Schizosaccharomyces pombe: one gene and its partner. The protein of the gene in region 2 interacts with the protein of the main gene of each other region in a pairwise test. Each region holds a gene or a part of one and is shown on either strand. Other genes may lie near its edges. The genes, in order: tnr3 and isp3.

What was found.
Region 1: the proteins of isp3 (region 2) and tnr3 interact in a two-hybrid assay, tested with the Schizosaccharomyces pombe proteins (one large-scale study listed by BioGRID).

The regions. Positions count from the first base shown.
Region 1 is NC_003424.3:1,309,822-1,321,202, reverse strand, and holds tnr3 (thiamine diphosphokinase Tnr3/ Nudix hydrolase fusion protein), read left to right. Parts: upstream 1-2,224; 5' UTR 2,225-2,400; coding exon 2,401-4,110; 3' UTR 4,111-4,222; downstream 4,223-11,381. Other genes in the region: Rho GDP dissociation inhibitor Rdi1, read right to left, coding at 740-1,357; tvp15 (COPI-coated vesicle-associated protein), read right to left, coding at 4,706-5,104; fsv1 (SNARE Stx8), read left to right, coding at 6,739-7,482; DNA-binding transcription factor, glucose starvation sensing, Rst2, read right to left, coding at 8,520-10,223.
Region 2 is NC_003424.3:90,732-101,345, forward strand, and holds isp3 (protein isp3), read left to right. Parts: upstream 1-5,058; 5' UTR 5,059-5,268; coding exon 5,269-5,817; 3' UTR 5,818-6,235; downstream 6,236-10,614. Other genes in the region: hhy1 (hydrolase), read right to left, coding at 1,749-3,140; pfl8 (glycoprotein), read left to right, coding at 9,280-10,437.

The DNA of each region.
Region 1 (11,381 bases), 1.2 Mb from region 2:
TATTAAGACAGTAGCTTTGCGCTCAATAACTTTTTATGGGTTTAGGATTCATTAATCAATCTTTTAATCAGTGTGAAGTATTAAAATAAAAAGTTAAGTTTCAAGCACTATGTAGGATTTTCTCAAAGTCGAGCGAGATACGTTGAAATGAGTTTAAGAATGAGTTATTACCGTTACAATAGTATTCTAGTAATTCCCATCAAAGGGACTAATCAGGCTAGTTAATAGCTATTTGTATTGTTTTCTATGTACTTCTTTGGTGACAACAAGGAAAAGTGGAAAAGTATAAGATACTTGGAAAAATTTAATCAAAATCTCAAAACTCATAATTTCAGTGAAAAGAATATAGTCGGATGTATATATCCTTCCAAAATATCGCATTTGTAAGCTTTGGAACGAGATTTAAAAGAAACAACGTAGATTGCTAAAGGGGAATATGTGAAGATCATATGTAAGCTATAAAAGTAATTTGCACAACAAAAGGCAATCTCCAAACAATCCGAGATATTTGGGTGAAGTAAAGTTTCACTGAAGAAGGTGGTAAGAAATCGTCATTACCATATTCAATTGTAGTCCAGACACCGATATGTGAAAGAAATTGGTAAGAAAAAGGAAAATGTTTGCTTTGTAACAAAACATCACTATAAATTTCTTTATAGTACTGAATACCGAGAATTTTGAATAACCAAGTAGATTTGAAATTTACGATTTTAAAAAATAAGGCTGGCATAAATAATGACTACTTCCAGCTTTTTGCAACGTCAAAAGCCCAAACAAATTCATGATGGACCACTTTATCATCATCAACAAACTTTCCATTGGCTTCATAATGTCCGCGAGCCAGCATACCTGTAGGTGCCTCATCTGGTTCAGAGGTAAAATCATAAGGTGTTTCAGAAGGTCCATAGGAGCCAATCATGGTAGATGTTTTGTCAACAACAAAGCCACGTCTGCGAACAGTTTGGACATATCTTAAGCCTGAAATTACTTCGTGTTGTACACGAAATTTAACACCAATCTTAAACTCGCTTCCTTCCTTAATAGTGAACCCTTTCTTGCGGATTTGTTCGACACTTGCTGCATCTTCCATGTTAACATCAACTGGGTCACGGCCGTCAACAAGTAAACTCAGCTTTAAAATAACAACTGTTCTACGATCATTCGAGGGTGAATAACCTGTTCCCGTGATACCCAGAGATGCTTTCCATTTCTGCAATGATTCATCTTCGGCATCCATCTTCATATATTCATTAAGTGATTTCTTTTCTCCCAGAGAAACCGGAGGTCCATGCTCAAATGTATCATCCTCTAGTTCAGGGTTATGTTGATCAGCGGATACTTCATTGTTAACACTCATTTTAAAACAACGCAATAGAATTTAATTATCTGCCAGTAGCTAAACCAAGGACAATTTGTTTTTATAAAAAAAGTTCAGATTCGTTGTTTTGTTAATGTACTGTTCTAGAGTTGAAATTGGCAAAGGGAACATAGCATATTGCTATCTCAACAATATAACCAGATGTACTACTATGTTAACATTTCGGTGACTTGGATTATTTTAAATATAACGGAGATGCAGAAAAGCGTGAGAAAAGTATAAGATTTTTTTTTTCTTTCTATTCCCTTCGATTTTTTTTTTAGTGTCATTATCCATGCTTTTATACATGTAAATATGTTGGAGTAATCCCAAGCATTGACGTCTTATGAGACGTAAAAAAGAAGGAACTTTCTATGCTAGCTTTTCTGTAGGCAGATGTTCTTTACATGAAATTGTTTGAGCAGCAAGTTATAGCTGTAGTCGATAACTATTATACAACCAGATTTGATACGTTTAGCGGAAAAATTATCAATCACTTCAGGAATTATTATTAAAAAACTTACGAAGGAAGTCCACTGAAAATAAAAATCATGTGAAAGATACGCTTAACTATACCAAACCCTAATTAATTACAAAAACGGCGGTTGGTGTTAAAGTGAAAATTAGTAAGCCAATCTGTGTGCTATTATTTTTAATACCAAGACATTCCTGGCACGGAGTTCTGCTCCCATTGTAATTTTCCTCGTAGACCACACTCTTGAAAGACAATTACTAGATTACCTTGATTAAGGTACTGTTTGTTTAATATCAACTTCTTTTTTGTTTTTAAAGATCATTTTGAAAGGGGTTTAATAGATTAGCATTTCGTTATACGATAAGGTTTTAGTCAACTACCCGATTTCTACTACCAGGAACCAGTTTCCTTGAGCTTTTACCATTTGCTAGTATAGGGTGTTTTATATATTATTCTATTTATGTTGAATTGAACCATAAGTGTCTCCTTCGCATAAATACACTAGCCTTTTTTATTCCTGTTTTATTTTAGAACACTATCCATTTGAGAGGAAAATTTGGGCAAGGTAATGGCAATGTCGTCTATCACCTCTGCTAAACAATTAAATGCCGAAGAGCTTTTAGATGAATGCGATTCTTTTAATGGGGAATTTGTTCCTGGAACAATTCCCTTCCGTGCAAATGGCGCTGCCATTGGATATGTTACCCCTTTGGTACTAGAAATCCTCATAAAGGCGGATAATTTCAAATTCAATTGGGTTTATGTTCCAGGAGAGTATATTGAAATAAACGCATCTACTTTTGAAAAAAGAACTGACATCTTAGCTAAGGTACTGGAGCATTGGCGCCATAACAATACATTTGGAATTGCTGATCAATGGAGGAATGAATTATATACTGTTTATGGAAAATCTAAAAAGCCTGTATTGGCCGTTGAACGGGGCGGATTTTGGTTATTCGGTTTTTTGAGCACTGGTGTGCATTGTACCATGTATATTCCAGCAACTAAAGAACATCCTCTTCGTATTTGGGTACCACGAAGATCACCGACTAAACAAACGTGGCCCAATTATTTAGATAATAGCGTTGCCGGCGGAATTGCTCATGGTGATTCAGTCATAGGCACTATGATAAAGGAATTTTCTGAAGAAGCTAATTTGGACGTTTCTTCTATGAATCTTATTCCTTGTGGCACTGTCTCCTACATCAAAATGGAGAAAAGGCATTGGATTCAGCCCGAGTTACAATATGTATTCGATTTACCTGTTGATGATCTTGTTATCCCAAGAATTAATGATGGAGAAGTCGCTGGTTTCAGTTTATTACCATTGAATCAAGTACTTCATGAACTTGAATTAAAAAGTTTTAAGCCAAATTGTGCTCTGGTTCTTTTAGACTTTTTAATCCGTCATGGTATCATTACTCCACAGCATCCTCAGTATCTCCAAACTTTAGAACGGATACATAGACCGTTGCCTGTTCCTGTTGGAAAATATGAAAGAGGGGATTCTTTTGAAGATACTTCAAAGAAAGCTGAAACGTGTGTTCCTGCAAAACCCCAAAAAGCCACTCATCAGCTAGCTCCATGTAAGGCTTGGTTACGTGACTATGATACTGATCAAAAGTTTGCGGTATTACTATTAAATCAACCCATAGATATACCGGATGATAGATTTCGTACTTTATGGAAAAGAGCTAGTATCCGAGTCTGCGCAGACGGTGGTGCTAACCAATTGAGAAATTACGATTCTTCGCTCAAACCGGATTATGTCGTTGGTGACTTTGATTCGTTAACAGATGAAACTAAAGCTTATTATAAAGAAATGGGAGTCAACATTGTATTCGACCCATGCCAAAACACCACTGACTTTATGAAATGCCATAAAATAATTAAAGAACATGGGATTGATACTATTTTTGTATTATGTGGCATGGGTGGAAGAGTTGATCATGCCATTGGTAATTTAAACCATCTATTCTGGGCCGCCTCGATTTCTGAAAAGAATGAAGTATTTCTATTAACTGAATTGAATGTATCAACTTTGCTTCAACCCGGAATAAATCATGTTGATTGTCACGACAACATTGGTTTACATTGCGGTCTTCTGCCAGTAGGACAGAGTGTGTATGTTAAAAAAACCAGCGGCCTTGAGTGGAATATTGAGGATCGCATTTGTCAATTTGGAGGACTCGTCAGCTCTTGCAATGTAGTGACAAAAGCAACGGTGACTATAGAGGTCAACAATTTTATAGTATGGACAATGGAAACACGTCTATAAGACCTGTAAGTAAGAAACTCAGAAAGAATATTCATTATTCCCAACAGCTCAAAAAAATTAAGATATTTATTTAGATATAAAAAATATAAAACATCTATAGAGTATAAGCGGTAATGGTCATAAAGCAAAAAGATAATTGATTAGAGTAATGAAATAAAATAGAATTTTAGTAAAGCCAACTAACATTTTGAACTGCAAGATACATCTCAGAAAGTGAAGAAATAGAAAAAAATCATAATTTTTCATATTGTTGAGCTTGACATGTCATTTTTATCCTCCTCGATACACCCGACAGTTCAGAATCCAAGCTGGACAATTAAAGGTATTTGAATGTATAACCCTAAAACCCATCACAAATACCATAGCTACTACGCTAATGTTGATATACAAAAATTATACATAGTTAAGAGATCGTATACATATTTATACTCATTAACTACTCTGAGGATGACTGCTAAAGTGACTGTCTTTTAGAACACCTACCCTGAAGAAAACGAATGTATCCAGAATAAATCATATGTAGGAGGACATCGGGAAAAGAGGGGGGTAGGAACAAGAACCGAATCAAATAATATAGTTAGAAATAAAAAAAAGTCTACACTTCATCAACGTTATCATCCCAATCATTATCACGCATGCTTCTGGGAGCGTAGTCTTGCAATCCTGCTACGTAGTTTGCACCACAGTAGGCGATACCTGCAAGAAGAACTAAAAAGCCTAGGAAAGAAGTAAACCCGGAGTAAGAAAAGAGTAAAGTACCCATGAAAGCGTAGAAGAAGCCCCTTCCTAAGAATGAGAACATGAACGATCCATATTTAATAGCAATAGGAGGAATTTCCTTTTCTAAACCAATAGTTCCCAAACCGAAAACGATGATGAACAATGCAAGTAAAGCGTTTACGAAGCTAAATGAAAATAACTTGATAAATCCGCTTAAAACGAAGATACCACCTACGCCCAAATTAATGGCACTAAACATTTTTGTTTTATCCATTGTGAATTAAGTGTATGCAACCAATATTAAATTTTTCAAGCAATATGTATTTTAGTCGATGTTTGCTTAAAGACAAAGAGAAATGCAAGTTACTAAGCCTGCCTATGCTTACCGATGCGGTCATGCATATTTACGAACTATTGAAATACGGTAAATAAAAATAACGAATTCCATAATTCTCAACCAACTTTTTGTTGTTTACAGAAAATGAATAATTCAATTCATCGAAAATGCATTTTGTTTTCTATAGCATTCTTTGTACTGTTTTTGAAGTTAAAAACACTATCATTTAGTAAATAATGTACTTTCGACCCGGCTTTTTTTTGAGACAACTGTTGTTGACAATTTTAAGGTCTGTGGGTCAATTTATATATTTGTCAAACGTTCGTAAACAAATGTATTTGTATCTTAGTTTCATACGAGCTCCTTTAGCTATATGTGATCTACTCTCACTCGGGATCTACAGGGCTGTAAAATTTTTTGCACTCAAGTTTCACGCGATTATTATCAGATGCACCTGAATAAAAAAGAATAAAGTAAAATAAAAAGCCGAATGTTTTATAACGTAGTAAAATTCCTTCTTATTTTGATCGCTTTGCCATTCATTTGATTATGTTTATAATGATAATTTCACGTGCAATGTCAACTTTGATAGACGGCTACATCTATTTCTAATTCGTAACGCTATAAAAAAAAACTCCATTTTAAACTGAGAATAAAGCAAGAAGTCGATTAGCCGAATATAGATATCAGCATGATTCGTTTTAAACGGCCCAAAGCCTTGTATATATTTGAGTAATTTTCTACTGTACTTAATTGTCTGTAATTAAACAACTATTTGTTACTCCTACCTTGTTACACTTGGATTTAATACTCTGGAATTAGTGTACTAACTCCTAAATAAATATTTAAGTAGTATTTTTCTTTAAGATATTTCTTTAATAAACATTCTCTTCTAATGAAAAGAAAAGCGTCATTATTGGTATTTTAGTTTTCAGAGCAAAGAGGTACTTAACATTTATTATGTCGCAATTATTTTATATATATATTATATTAATATTTTGTAATGAGAAACCTAGGCCTAATAGTGTAGTGGTTAACATACCTCTTTCGGGTAATCCCCACTTGTATGCTGAGTTTAGAGGTGATCCCTGGTTCGAATCCTGGTTAGGCCCCTTTTTATACTGGGCTTGCTGTATAAATTTATCTGATTAATTTTGAAACTACGCAAACCAACTTTCAATAATTAAAAAGTTTTCCTTACACCTTGCTTGATTACCTTTTAATAGATGTGAAATAAGAACTACTAAATTTGTGATAAATACCGAAAACAATCAGAAGAGTCGAAAAGAAGCATTCAAAAAATTGTGTAAATAACGAGTAGGTTTCTAATAATACGATAATTTCACAGGATGCCTATAATGGATCTGGCAGCTAATGAGCAAATCATTTTTACTTTTTTTTTTATTTAAAACATACGAAAAGATTCTCTTTTTTTGCTGCAAACAAAATTTACTGTAATTGAACCTAGAATTGGTAGCAAAGGCATTACACCGTATTACTGTAAACTTCACTAATGTTTGTGTTTTTAGGCGCATGATGAACATGATTACTCAAGAAAGTAACCAGCGACTATGTCAAATTTGCTTCTGATCATTGACTCGGTTTCACAAAAAATAAGAGACAGGAGGAAGTTGGAAGAGTTTGGACAGAATCCCGATGAAGAAATTGAGTCTTCATTGAAAGATGTTCGGCAAGAATTGCAAAAACTTAATGAGGAGCAATCGCGATTAGAGAAAAATGCACAAATCCCAGAGTACAGAGTACGAGAATCCGAAGCATTTCTTATTAGAATGCAAAGGAGGTTAGAGTCTGCTGAGGAAGAGTTTGAGAAGCAGCGGCGTGCATCCTCAATTCCTGCTGACGGAACAAGTGCCTTTTCTGCAAACCCGCAAGTTGCAAGTACGAATAATAAGTTAACTCCCCTTCCTTCTTTACAAAAAACGACTTCGAGTAGTGAGGGATCTGATATTGAGATGGAGGCCATGTATCCGGTTGATGGCAATGACCCTGATCCCATAAACGTAAACGTTTTGGCTCAAATGCATCAGCAAATGCTCAACGAACAAGAAGAATCTTTAGGAGGGATCGAAGCAAGTGTCCAAAGGCAAAAGCGGATGGGATATGCAATGAATACAGAATTGTCCGAACAAAATGTTTTACTAGATAATATGAATAATGATGCTGATCGAATTGAGAGGAGGTTTGATCATGCAAAAAATCGATTAAACAAGGTCAGCCGAAAGGCTAAACAGTATCCCAGATGCTTTATTATTTTGCTCCTTTGTGCGTTGTTATTACTTGTGGCTTCCATTTAGGGTGCAAATAAATATCACTTAGCAATTGTACTTGCTGTAACTCTGTTACACTTTCACTTAATTCTTTTATTTCACGTCCTCTTTGAACTAGGCTATATAGTTCTTTTATTTATATTTAATAACCGTGATATTTACGAACTTTTTTTTTACGATTTTGAAAATGTTTTTGTGATCTTCAACTTCTTTTGCTAAACGAACCTTCCCTTTATAGGGAATACAGAAATTAACTTTTTCGTACATTCCAGTTTCTAACCATTGACTGTCTTTCTACTTTAGTAATTATTTTTCTGCTAGCGCATTTCTTATCGAAATCATTTTTGTGTTCTTTTAAGGGCCGTCCCCCTTGTTCACAAAGCTAGTTTTGACGACTTAAATCAAGTGAATATAGTGCATGCAGAGTGAATGCTTAATAACCATTTGTTACAAACTTTGTTTCGCTAATAACTCCTTATTTGACATTTGAATAAATAACCTATTAGACTTTCAAAATTTTTAGATTCAGGGCAGTAAACAATAAACAACAATATCTTCAATTAGCTGTATCAATTTATTTTCAGAAGTTTTGCTATATTATTCCTTCATCTCATTAAAAAATATTCTCTTCTATTATTAAACATACGTAGTCATGTTATCATTATCATTATTAAGGAAAAGTTTGAACGAGTAGATTCTTTCTTGAGAATTAAGGGAACATGTGCTTGAATGCCATTTTTTTCATCTTAAATATAAAGCCTCCGTTGCTATTGTTAACCATATCACGCTGAACCTTTTTTGATAATAAAATATCAGAAGCAACCCTCTTAACTAATGTGTTGTGAACCTCTCAGCATTGCATATCTTAGCGTAATTAAATATTCGGTAAAAGAGGATCGTTTTCCTATCAACAATTGAACCCCAAATCAAAATATTCAAAACTTCAGATCAATCCTTAAATTAATTAAAAACCGAATCAAAGCTAGTTGATTTTTGTTTAAAAAAACTAAAAGATGCATTTCATTAAGAAACAAATAGTATAAAATATAAAGATATGAAAAAAATTAAAATGAGGGCGGTTGATTCCGATTATTATCTGTAAGCAAACCGGAAGTTTCGGATACAGGATAATTAAAGTCTGAAGACCAATTTGCCCCATTGTTATTGAATGAATTAAAATTAAAGAAAGGAATTGAATTGGAATTATCTAATTTCTCAGACTGAAAATTAGTCTCCATTTGATCCCCTTCGTTGTTCAATGAATTTGAATTCTCAACGCCTTCAAAATTGTAAGAGTCAAAATATCCCATCGAAGCGAAGGCCTGATCTTTATCGGTAATTTCTTCAGATAATGAAATGCCTTCTTCTTTGATGCCTTCTGATATTCTTCCTTCCATATCAACATAGCCTTTTGGAGGATAAGCTTCAGATGGATATTGCTCTGTTCCTAATGGCGAATTAACATGTGCATATGTGGGCAATCCAGAAGGGATCGAAGAAGGACTCAACGTTAATGGTTGCTGCATTAAAGATTCAGGGCTATAACAGCTCGGTGAAAAATTAGTGCCACTAGGCGATATGCAAGACTGACGCATATGTTCGAGATTATCAAGACGAGTATAATCCACAGAATTACTCTTAGGAGGATTCTGAAAAAAGTAACTATTTGATTTGTTGATCAAAGAATCTTTTGGTGAAGCATGAGGAGAAGGCATAGCCTGAAGATTAAGAAACGAAGCAGAAACATCAGATGGGCCACTAGGTTGATTGAAAGTAGGAAGATTTAAAGACTCACTAAAACTCATCCAATCCAATTTATCAATCTCGTACCCTTCAGGAATAGATTCAGGAAGTGTCATATTCATAGCGTAATTTCGTGAAACGGCGTTAGGTGAATACGGCATTCTAGCCAAACTTTCATCGTCTAATTGACCTGAAAGGCTTTCAGGTCTATTAAAGTCATAAAGCTGCGGGTGTTGATAAACAGAAGGCCTCAAATCGCTGGCAATGGTTGCCCTACGATAGTACAAAGGACTGTCGGGTCCATAAGGCACACCGAGACGTTGATCTGACCATTGAGAAGATGTAGGATTTACTGCACCAGATGCAGAGGCATTTACCGTTTCCCTCCCATTACCGGCAGAAACCAGCCTTTGTTGTTGGGCTTGCAACCAACTTGCAGAAAATGAACCTGAGTTGTTCGCAAGCTGCGCTTGTAGTGCGGCATGCAACTTTGGATAACGAAATTTGTCAATGGAATCTGCCTGAGGTAAAGAAATAACAGGTTTAGAAGCTAAATTTGTTGTGCTTACCGAAACATTTGAAAGAGAAGGATTGGGTAAAGCCGTTGTTGAACGACGTCTTCTTCGAGGTTGTGGATTCCTATGGATTTTCTGTTGGTGACGAAGTAGAAGATCACGCCTCGAAAACTGTCGACCACAACCTGTAGGTAAACCATCAATCTCACTACAAGTAAAAGGCTTTTCGTTGGTATGAGATCTGATATGTCGTTTAAGATGCTCCAATCGAGCAAAAGCGCGTGTACATGTTTCACAAACATATTGTTTAACTTTCTGGGGTGGGGCATTAGGGTCCTTTTTAGCAGCGGTAGAAGAAGCCACAGGTTTTGAATTAGAAGTAACAGAGCTGGGTGTATTAGCATTAGAGGTACCAGAATCGGAATTAATAGACATCAAGTTTTCCGAAACTTTTGATTCGGATAAAGTATTAGCTTTCGAGGCTATCGGTGCTAAAGACTCACGCGTCATGATAAAACAAGTTTTCAAATTAAACAATTATTTTCTTATTTTTCAAAAGAAGAATATGTTGTTAAAATAAAAGATATGAAGGGAAATAAAGCTTGAAAGTGATTGCAATCAGGATTCAAAAAGACTAAAAACGAAAACCGCAAAATAATTTTCGAAAATGAAATGCAAGATCCTAAATTAGTTATCAACAAGTCAGAAAAAAGAAATAGCTAAATAAATCAAAATTGACTTGTCAGAGAAATACAGGTAGGCAAAAATAAGCAAGATATAATCTGCCAAATAATTTTACCAAATAACGTTAATAGCAAAGCAACAGAATATGTTAAATATTTCTTAAGGACAACAGGGAGATGAGAAAAGTAGTTGAAGAAGGAAAATATGAGGAGAACTGTTGAGATGCCAAACTTTTTTTTTTTAAAGGGGATAAAAAAAGAGTGTAATCAAACAAAAAGCCACCGCGAAGAACAACAAGGAAAGAAGGTCGGTAAAATAGACAGAGAAAGAATAAAAACAATCGATTGAACCTGCACACAGTAATAGCACAGATAAACAAGAAAAGACACTTGAAAAACTTAATGTACTTCAGAAGAGTCTATTTCAAAAAAAGCCTGGAAAATAAATTTCAAAAAGATAAACGCCATCCACACTTTAAATAGAATTAGACACTAACTAGGAAATAAGAAACGTATTGTCGAAACAATGTACGTCAAGAGGAGAATCGGAAATGTAAGGAAAGGAGAAAGAATTAACAGTCAAATAATAACTGAAACAAGGCACGTGAAGGACAAAAAACGAATCCTATAACATATATACTAAATGTCTGATAGATTGGTTAAGGATGTCAATTTTATACATCCAAACTAAAAAATATAAAATAACAGACAAACGCTTTGCGGTTTTCCTATTTCACAAAGGAAAAACCAAAATTGAATGATAAATGAAGTGTATCCTATGCGAATTGTAAAGAACAAATCAGCTTTTAACACTTAAAAACGAATTTTAGTGCAATAATCTTCAATGATCTGAAACTCTGCAGTGAACTCGTATTTTACAATTCGAATAAATGAAGTTATTGCAACTTAGAAGTAAAAATCTTCTAGTGTAAAAGATTCTCTTTCCTTTCTAAGCTTACTAACTGGTCAAGTGGCGAAAAGCCGG
Region 2 (10,614 bases):
GGGATTGAAACATGTGGTTACATGAAGCCTTGGCAAGCAAATTTTGAAACTACAGTGCACTGTTGTTAAGCTAATTAACTATACTTATGTCACATATTACATCGTATGTTCACTTCAAAATAGATATCGCTATCAGATGATCTTTGCTTTTCGTCGACTTTTGTCTTAAATTATCAGATTGCCAACGTCACATGAAATCGGAAAAAATAGTTGTGTTGCGAAATACTTCACATATAGGAGTAGTAATTCCGTGAAGTCTCAATCCTTCCTCTCATTAACTTGGTGTTTATTTTTTTAAAATGCTTTTCTAAGTGTAAACAGTTTTATCCTAGTAAAAGAAAATTTAATGACCAAAAACCCATATCTCTCTAGTTTCAAAATCCTTAGTAGTCTTCAGCGTATATTAATTGCTGTGGAAAACCTATGTCTTTTTGGGATGGAGTCTGCAAATTTTTTTTATTAGTTTTTATGAATTCTGGCTTATGAACTCTTATTAAATTTCATAATCAAAAGCACCTTTGCCAACTTTGACTAATATACCTTAAGAAAATTTCATTGAACTTTCTTGTTCTCGAGCAATTTATTCTCGACTAACCAAAATTTTATTTGATTTGAGCCTTATTTGTTCACACTAGGAGCATGAAACTTTCATACCGTTTTATTTGAGCTTTGTATTTTCGTGCACCAAACACAACCTAGGTTGTAGTATTATATCAATTTTTGCTTTATAATTTAAAAGACCAGACGACATGCAGCTGATTTTCAAAGTTGCATATGAAGGAAGCTTGTATAATTTGACTCTTCTCTCATGGGAGGTAAAATTTTTATTATTTTTTTTTTGGGAACCGGCGTACTAATGGACATTTGATCAGATAAATCGGAGTTCTATCAACCGCAAAAAGGATATAAAGGCGAGGCTTTCCTTTTACAATTTTGATGATAGAGGTTAAATAAAAAGTTTTTATTTTCCGTATTTCATTTTCCGGTTACAAATTCGTCCTTTCGGTTGGCATGCAAAAATGAACATCCTTGTTATCGCTATAACATTTTAATGGCTGCAATTTGTCAGCACGCAGTAATTCTGTAAATATCTTTAGCAATCGCGGATTTTTTTTTTTGAAAATTAAAAATTATAAGTCAGACTAATGAGTGCAAAAAAATTTCCATTCCATCTTAACCCTATAAAGTCATATCAGAAGTGGAACAGTCAACTTGCTCAAGTGTCTTCCATTAAACCATCTTATTTGACCAAATAATATTGTTAAAGGCATTGAAAGTACCGCTATTATCTCATCTGATAGTGACCATAAAATCATGAAATGGTTAACAGTGTTGAAGTGAAACCAGAACAAAGAAAACCATGTTTCAACACGCCAGAATTAAATTAAAAGGCTCAAAAAATAAAAAAAAGGATGTTAAATAGGTAGACGCGACGATTACTGTTTAATAATGAATAGCAGACTCGGGATCATATTATACTCTTCAGTAATGTTACTTTTCATTTAAGTTAAATGATAACAGCAAAAACAATCATAAGTTTTAGGACTTGAACGTGATATTTGTTGCGCTAAATAATGAACTTTTTGAGCTTAACGAAAACTTTGAGAATTCACTTATTTATCAACTACAAAGAAAATTAACTACACAATTATTTGGTTCGTTCCATTTGTTTTCAATCAAAATTTTTATTGAGTAAAAAGCTTACACATGAAGGATATAGTTACAGTTTGTCATCCGTTGATCAAAGCTTAAATTTCTTTCCAGCGGCCTTTCACATCCACTTTGGCACGTTCTTGAAGCTTTTTTCCATGCTTTTTAGCCTTATCAATCAATTTTGGTTCATCAATCGTTAATAAAACATGATCTTCCACAATCAGTTTTCCATCAATTACTACTGTCGCAACATCAGCTCCAGTAGCAATATAAACCACAGCAGATACAAGATCTCTAAGAGGTTGCGCATAAAGCTTATTAGATAAATCTAAAGAAATGAAGTCAGCTTTTTTGCCGACCTCTAAAGAGCCCAAATCATCTCTTCCCAATGCCTTTGCACCATTTATTGTAGCCATTTCAACGATTTTCTCAGCGGGAACTATAGACGGATCACCATGTAAAGCCTTTGGAAGCAAAGACGCCATCTTCATTTCTTGCAATAGATCCATAGTGTTATTACAAGGACATCCATCACAACCAATCCCAACTATTATTGACTTCTCGAGCATTTCTTTTAGTGGGGCGATTCCACTACCTAGTTTGGAATTTGATACCGGGCAATGAGCCACAGAAGTTCCATTTCCGTGTTTCTCCAAAATTTCTAAATCTTGAGTATCGAGATGAACCATATGTGCTAAAACAGTCTTTGGTCCTAAAAGACCTAGATCTTTGCAGTATGTCATCGGAGTATGTTCCTTGCTAGCAAAAAACTCTCTGTCGGCTTTTACTTCTGCACAGTGCATCGTAATTCCAATATTATTTGCTCTGGCAATTTTAACCATTTTACGATACAACTCTTCAGAAACACCACCAGGTGTTCGTGCTCCGAACCATATCTCGACTCGGCCATTTCCTTTCCCATGGAATTTGCTATGGCTTTCAACTGCTTGGTTGAGCGAATTAGAATTTTCAATCAAACCCTCATGCATGCTAACTCCAGTTTGAGTAGCATACCTTGGTTGATCCATTACCACTTTTCCTATGCAACCCCTTATTCCCGATTCTATTACCGCTTTGACCGCACCCTCAATTCCATACCGTTGAGCAAATAGTGCCTCAACGAATGTTGTGGTCCCAGATTTTAACATTTCCGCAATGGTTAATTGCGAAGCAACGTATCCATCTTCTTGGGTGAAATTACCCTGCATCTTCCAAACAGTGTCACATAACCAAGAAATTAGAGGCAAATCGTCGGCTGCAGAACGCAAAAGTGACTGTGCTAGATGTACATGGAGAGATATGAGTCCAGGCATCACTATATGGCCTTCTAAAGATTTATGTTTTTCATTTGGATATATTGAAACTAGTCTATCCGTTTTTCCTATATCATCGATGGTATTAGAACCATCCTTGACTAGTATTGCTCCATCAATTAGTATATCACGTGTTGGATTTACCGTAATAATATTAGCGTGAGTATACAACATTTTTCGGTAAATTTTGATTAAATTTATCTGGTATATATATATTATTAGTATGTATTATCCTATTCGGTAATAATCCGCTATGTCGGATAACTTTAAATAGATAAGCGGCACCCGCAACTTAACCATCAACGACCTGTTTGGGCTGTTAGTAATAATTATTTATTCTGGATCGATTTAGCTTTATTGGTTTGGTAAGCTAATACGTAGTAGTAAATTTTTCGCCTTCAAGATTTTTACAACGCCAACGAAATAATTATAGTTCAACTATTCCTCCAATTTTGACCTACTGTATAAATATAGTGGGAAAAATTCAGTAATCACTATTGGCTTAGTTTGAGGGAATTTTAAACCACAGCTCTATTAGAATAATAGTAACATTAAATTCTTTCTTTTTTAGGGAACTTCGGTTTTCTTTGTACTTCGTGCAAATAAAAAATGCCGAATTTATAATTCTAAAACTTAGTGACAATTGAATTTTTTTTAAATGTTTCTATATTGTTAAGCAATAAACGACTTTAAGCTTTTCATTAAGCGAATGAGATTATTTTACCCAACTTATATTAATATAGGATTGATCACCACAAACGTTAAATAAAGTTGTCAGTATCACGCTTACGAATCCAACGTTTTTAAAAACACATCTAATATCATTTCGTCTCTCCTTATAGTAATAAAATTTTTAAGCGTATACGGCTATTAACCAAGTGATCCTTTCTAAAATGTTTCCATCACTTTCTGTTGAACTTCTGTTATTATTGCTCATAAGTTTTAAAGATTTTATAATATTATGGTGAAGAGCTGTTTGAATAACGAATCACCGAAATTTACTATAAAGTTGACCTCACCACTTTTGCTTTCAAATCGAATAGACGACTGAACTAGCTCGTTATAGTCTATTTTGTTATTTAGAAAAATTTTAAGGATATGCAATTGTAAAACCTAATGCTGAGTGTAATGTGGTGAAGTCAATATACAACGTTGTGATATTATTTCAGAAAAATTTAATTCAAACTAACCATATAACATCCTTAACCGAATTGTTTTTCTATCGAAATCAGCTTATAGGGCATGACTGTATTTACAAACTTTATGTTATACTAGAAAAATTATTGTTACAAGACATGGGCTATCTTAGTAACATATAAGAACCATAACCAGATAGTCACAAGATGTTCATAAAAATAATCAATTTGACATAAAAACAAAAAATCACTTTGCTAAACGTAAACACAAGGAATAAATTCATAACAATTAACAATTTTGAAAATTTTTATATCTGATTGCCTCAGAAAACGAAAATCTTTCTTCAAAAAGCCAACCCAATAATCGAATATTTTGTATATATTTGATGTATTTTATGCGATACAGTTAAAGATAGCCTACAACTTGTGTTCATGATGCGAACATTTGCCTTAAGCAAATGTTTTCAGAATCAGAGAAGACGTACTTAAAGAATTTAAAAAAGTAAACTAATTAAATGCAAACAAAACAATGATCCTTAATTCCATGTATAGCATAATAGAATTTGTGGTTGTTCGTCACAGTGTAAACAAAAAACGGCTAGTGTAGTAATCTTTACGCCCACGATTATCCCGTCGGCATCGAAACACTAACTTGACGAACAAAGGCACTAAGCAATCTAACCAATAAACCTCTAGGAATTGAATTTACATTAATGCTTTGCTTGAACGTAAACAATTGAAGCTTTGCGATTCGTGCCTTTATCAACGTATTTTTTTTCTTTTATGGGGACTTATAACTCTATTTTTAAAAATATTTTGTTTTAGCCAATCATGAAACTCCAAAAATGATTATACGTCATTTTTTTTAATAAACAAAACATGTGTTTATGCTGAAAGCATCCACTGTAAACAAAAAAAAAACTATATAAGAAAGGGGAAATTCCAACTTTTAATTCAGTTCTTACCATTTCTTTTTACTCACTTAACTAGAAATCGGTTTTTTTAAAAAAGAAAACTACAGGAGCAGCCATCAATCAAAGCATTTCTTCTTCAGAATACAGGGAAAGTCATTTCAACTTTTCTATCTTTAAAAGTATTTTTTTGAATTTTCTGTTCAAAAAAATCACACAAAAGTCTAACTTTAGTAAAACTTTTCAGCTTTAAAAATGGGTCTCGGAAATTTGTGCTCTTACAAGCAAGATGATAGCTTAGATATTTTGCAAAAGAAGGTTTTAATTGATGCCTTTAACAAAGTTACTATTGATGGAAAGCCCAATGTCCAACATCAGCAGCCAACTTACTGGTATCCTCCTCCTCCTCCTCGTCATCACAAGGAACACAAAAAATCTCACCATCATTGGGAATATAGCAGTGATGATGATAGCAGTGATGATGAGGAGTCCTGTGAGAAGAAAAAACCCAAATGCTGTGAGAAGAAGAAACCCAAATGCTGTGAGTCTGAACAGAACAACGGTTGCGGTCGCAGAAACCAACTTGCAAGGCGCTTAGCATTTCTGGGTAGCTTTGGTGATGGTGACTGCGATGGCTGTAACGAGGCTTTTACCGTTACTGGTCCCATCACATATTTCAGAACCTGCCCTGATCCACTCACAGGTATAACCCCAGCTGTAGCTGCTGCAGCTGCTACTCCGGCGGCAGCTGCTACTCCTGCTACTCCGGCGGCAGCTGCTACTCCTGCTGCTCCTGCCGCATAGAGCAAAAATGCCCTTTATGCAAGGAAATAGAGTATTGCTGTTATCCAAATTGAGATAAAGACATTATACCATGGAAAGCACCATAACTATCAAAAACTCCCTAAGCTACTCTTGAATGTTAAAGCGGTTTCGATTACTTTCGGAGCAACGTTGTTTGTCAGTAGTTACTTACAAAGTGCATCTGGCGTTTTGAAGTTGACTTTAAGGAGTCGAAAATTTGAGATTTTGGAAAAGATAATGGCAAAATCCATTTTAACGTGGAATCCAAGTCTGTATCAGACAACACACTTTTATCAAAATAACTAATTTCCCACCTTTCTTTAGTTATACTTGCGCGCTGGGTTTTTGTCTTTTAGATAGATGTAGGCTACTCGTGTTGATGTTCACGGAATAAAATTGAGGCTGCTCTTTTTTTTTTATACAGTGTACCTTTTCGTATGTTTAATTTGTTTGTCCATGATTATTTGTAAATTAAAAAATGTGGTTGAATTCGTTAGTTGGTATGAAAGCGTTAAATATAAGACTATACTAAGAAATGAGATATGCGTAAGTGGTCGCAAAACACAGTACAATAAACAAATTCTGTAGAATTAGATTCAGCAACCAACTTAATAATTAATTCAACATCCAAAGATTTTTACTATTCAAGTTTAATCAATTAATTTACCCAATCAAGCTTCCTAAGTACGATAAAATATAAAGTGCATAAATGATCGGATTGTAGTATTGCTTAGAGAAACTACTTAGAGGTTTATATGCCATTCAGTAATTGAACATATTTGATTTAACTATTCAGCGGTTAACATTATTGAACCAACCATAAAATAAAATCAGTTTTCCTTAATATGATACGTTATTCTGCAACCTTTATTCAATTAACTTCTTTCGGCTGAAAGGATACTAAAAACATCCGCAGGTCATTTCTCAAGCTATTGAGCACACCTAACTAAGCACGAAGGTTAATACGACATTATATTGAGAACTTGATATTAAGTACCAGATTCAAACTAATAATCAAATTTATTATAGCTGAAACAATTCACAATAACATTTTACCCTTTAATAATTCAGATGATTAATCTTCATTGTGTACATTTTTTAAAAAATCAATTCGTACTTTTATATGTTTAAGGAAATCTACATGAGTTGACAAACCAACAAGCAGGTTTCATATATTTCAACTACATATTTCACGATGCTGCGCATTAATGCTGATTAAACAAGTATGGAGCGTTCAAAATGCGTTTACAATTTAAAGGTTGCTACTCTATAATAATCCTAATCTTATAAGGTTGAAAAAATCGGTTAACATTATTGAACCAACCATAAAATAAAATCAGTTTTCCTTAATATGATACGTTATTCTGCAACCTTTATTCAATTAACTTCTTTCGGCTGAAAGGATACTAAAAACATCCGCAGGTCATTTCTCAAGCTATTGAGCACACCTAACTAAGCACGAAGGTTAATACGACATTATATTGAGAACTTGATATTAAGTACCAGATTCAAACTAATAATCAAATTTATTATAGCTGAAACAATTCACAATAACATTTTACCCTTTAATAATTCAGATGATTAATCTTCATTGTGTACATTTTTTAAAAAATCAATTCGTACTTTTATATGTTTAAGGAAATCTACATGAGTTGACAAACCAACAAGCAGGTTTCATATATTTCAACTACATATTTCACGATGCTGCGCATTAATGCTGATTAAACAAGTATGGAGCGTTCAAAATGCGTTTACAATTTAAAGGTTGCTACTCTATAATAATCCTAATCTTATAAGGTTGAAAAAATAAAATAAAAACATAGTACGGCAGAGGTATACAAATAATCATAAGCTTTGCTATCATCGCCTAGCTTTTAAATATTGCGATGATATACGTTCGGGACTTTATAATAAATTTATATATCGCTCATTTACTTTTGAATATTTGTCTAAACCAGGTATTTTTTGAATAGAGGCTACAGTATTTTCATTGAGAGACTTCGATATCAAAGACTTTTCGGAATGCGCCAAATTAGTTCAACAATACCACATCACGCTACAATTACGACGCAACGTTGCGAATCACTATAAGCCATATGTTAAAACACTACTTAAGATCGGCTTACAAGATAATCACGAAATACTATCCATCTATCAGTTCAGATACCCGTTGATTACAGTTTTAAAATTGATTGTAAATAGAGCTACAACTGAACCTCGTTCCTCAGTTCAGTTATGAGCTATATTAGTGATAGGTAACATTATAACCCAGTTAATACAATACCTATACTTAGTTGCTACTTATACTACCTGTGTAGTGTAATATAATAGATCACAGGCAAACTCACCCCAGTTCTACGGTCGTTTAAACAGATACTGACTGCGTAGCTGACATAACAAACCAAAACTATGGTGAGTTTTACTTGTGATCTATTATATTATACGTAGGTAACGCAAATAACAGTTGTTATAAGTATTGTTATATTGTTATCTAACACTGGTATAGCTTATAACTGAGCTGAGGAACGAGGTTCAGTTGTAGCTCTATTTACAATCAATTTTAAAACTGTAATCAACGGGTATCTGAACTGATAGATGGATAGTATTTCGTGATTATCTTGTAAGCCGATCTTAAGTAGTGTTTTAACATATGGCATATAGTAATGCGCAACGTAGTCTAGTTTTGCTGACACGTTAAACCAGATACCAAACTGTGTAGCTGACAAATAAAGAAAATGTTAAAACGGGACGCAACTCCATAAAATTCATTAAATATAATTAAGCGGCGTACTTACTACAAATAGCGTATTGTATATATCCAACAATCACAATTTTAAGCTATCATATCAATTTGTGTATTGTTTTTGCTATATAAAATCAAACACTTAAAGGATGAGAATATAGCAAACATGCTACCGAACGTATCAAAAAAAAAAAAGGAAAATAGGTTCATGAGAATGAAAAGGATTTAGTGATTCGAGCTTTCATTTCGACTTGAGCTTCGCTTGATGCCCGGTTTATTTCAAAACCAATATGAAAGACATTTTATCGTTACTTCTTTCTTCTGTTTTGTATGGAATCGAATAGATCTTTAGTTAGGCGTTTCTAATTGACCAATTAACGTTATTAATATTTTTAGATTTTCGCAGCAACAACTTAAATTTTCCGAAAGTAGCAACACTGGTTATCATTTTTGCAAACTTGGTGTACACCAATAGTTACTTTGCTGGGAAAAAACAAGGAGTATACTCTATATATAGAAAGCATCTAAATATGAAGAAGTTGAGTTACATTCATAGCCTTTGTCTTAAATTCCACATTTAAAAATTTTTTTAGTATAAAAAACCCGATTCTCCTTGTAGAACGTTCAAATCTAGACATAATCTATTCTTCTAAAACCGAACAGATTTGGAACCACGTTCTAATCAGTGCTAGATTGAATATTTTTCTAAAAAATTTACGATGAATTCGTACATTTCCTTAATATTTACACTGCTTTTTTTTACGAGCGCTGCTCGTTCAAGCAGCGTCTCGGTGGAAACTGGCAGTTGCGTTCGTTACACAACCATCTATAGCTCTGGATCATCCGAGTTTACTTCTACTATCACCCCCGAAACTCCATCCAGTTCCTCTAGCACATTTGTCCCGATTTCAACCCATACTTCAAGTGCTACGAACACCACCTCTGGCCAACTTTCTATAAGCAGCTCAAGTTCGACTTCGTCTGAGTATTCATCTTCCAGTATCCCTATCACAACTGTTAGTTCTTCTGACTCATTCATTCCTTCATCATCTCAAACTATAAGTGCTTCAAGCTCAACAACTGACAATGTCATTGTAAGCAGTTCAATAAGCTCTACTGTTTCAAGTACACCAGTTTCTACAATTTATAGTGGAACATCAGGTACAACATTCGTTTCTTCATCCACAACTTATCAAGTTATTCCAACTCAAATATGTGATGGAGTTCGTGGATTAGAATACGCGGTATACAATTATGACTTGCCTTCTGAGTCTACATTCTGTCACCCTTCGAATGGTTATACCGAGGTGAGCACTTTTAATAAGCCAGCCTATTTTGGATCTAAAGACTTAAAGCAGAGTGCGCCTCTTTTTACTGGTATATTTTCATCTCTTGATGACATTCCCACCTATTCTGCTTCCGATTATCTTCCTGCTTATCCTCCTAATCCTGAAGGGATGTCTTCCACTTCATCTTCATGCAAAACAATTGTTTATCAATTTTTCTTCAGGGTTCCTGCTACTGATAACTGGAGTTTATTCGTTAAGAACGTCGATGATGCTTTCTTCGGTTGGTTCGGAGACAAGGCAATTTCTGGATGGTCAAATGTTAACTATGATGCATACGCTCACTGGAGAATAGGTGCCTATGGTATGGGAACCTTTGATTTAGGTTATCTTGAACAGGATAGCTTTGTTCCAGTTAGATTTGTTTTGGCTAATGGAGCTTACATTGGTGGATTTGACTTTGCCTTCAATTCTTCTTCGACTGGTCCCGTTCGTACCACGTCATACTCCTACACTTCCACTTGCGATAAATCTTTCTTACCTTTCGGAAAAGGCAACGGTGGATTGGATGAAGGTACTGCAAATGTTTAAATTATTACGGCCCTTTAAGCCTCAAACGGCACTTTGAATTTTAATTTATTAATTATTTATTATTATAATAGATTGAAAGCTCTTTGACTTTTTATGCCAAAACCGCTTTCTAACACATTCTTTGTCTGACTCATCAAAGTCAACGATTATACTTAGTTCGCTATTAACTAATCCAAA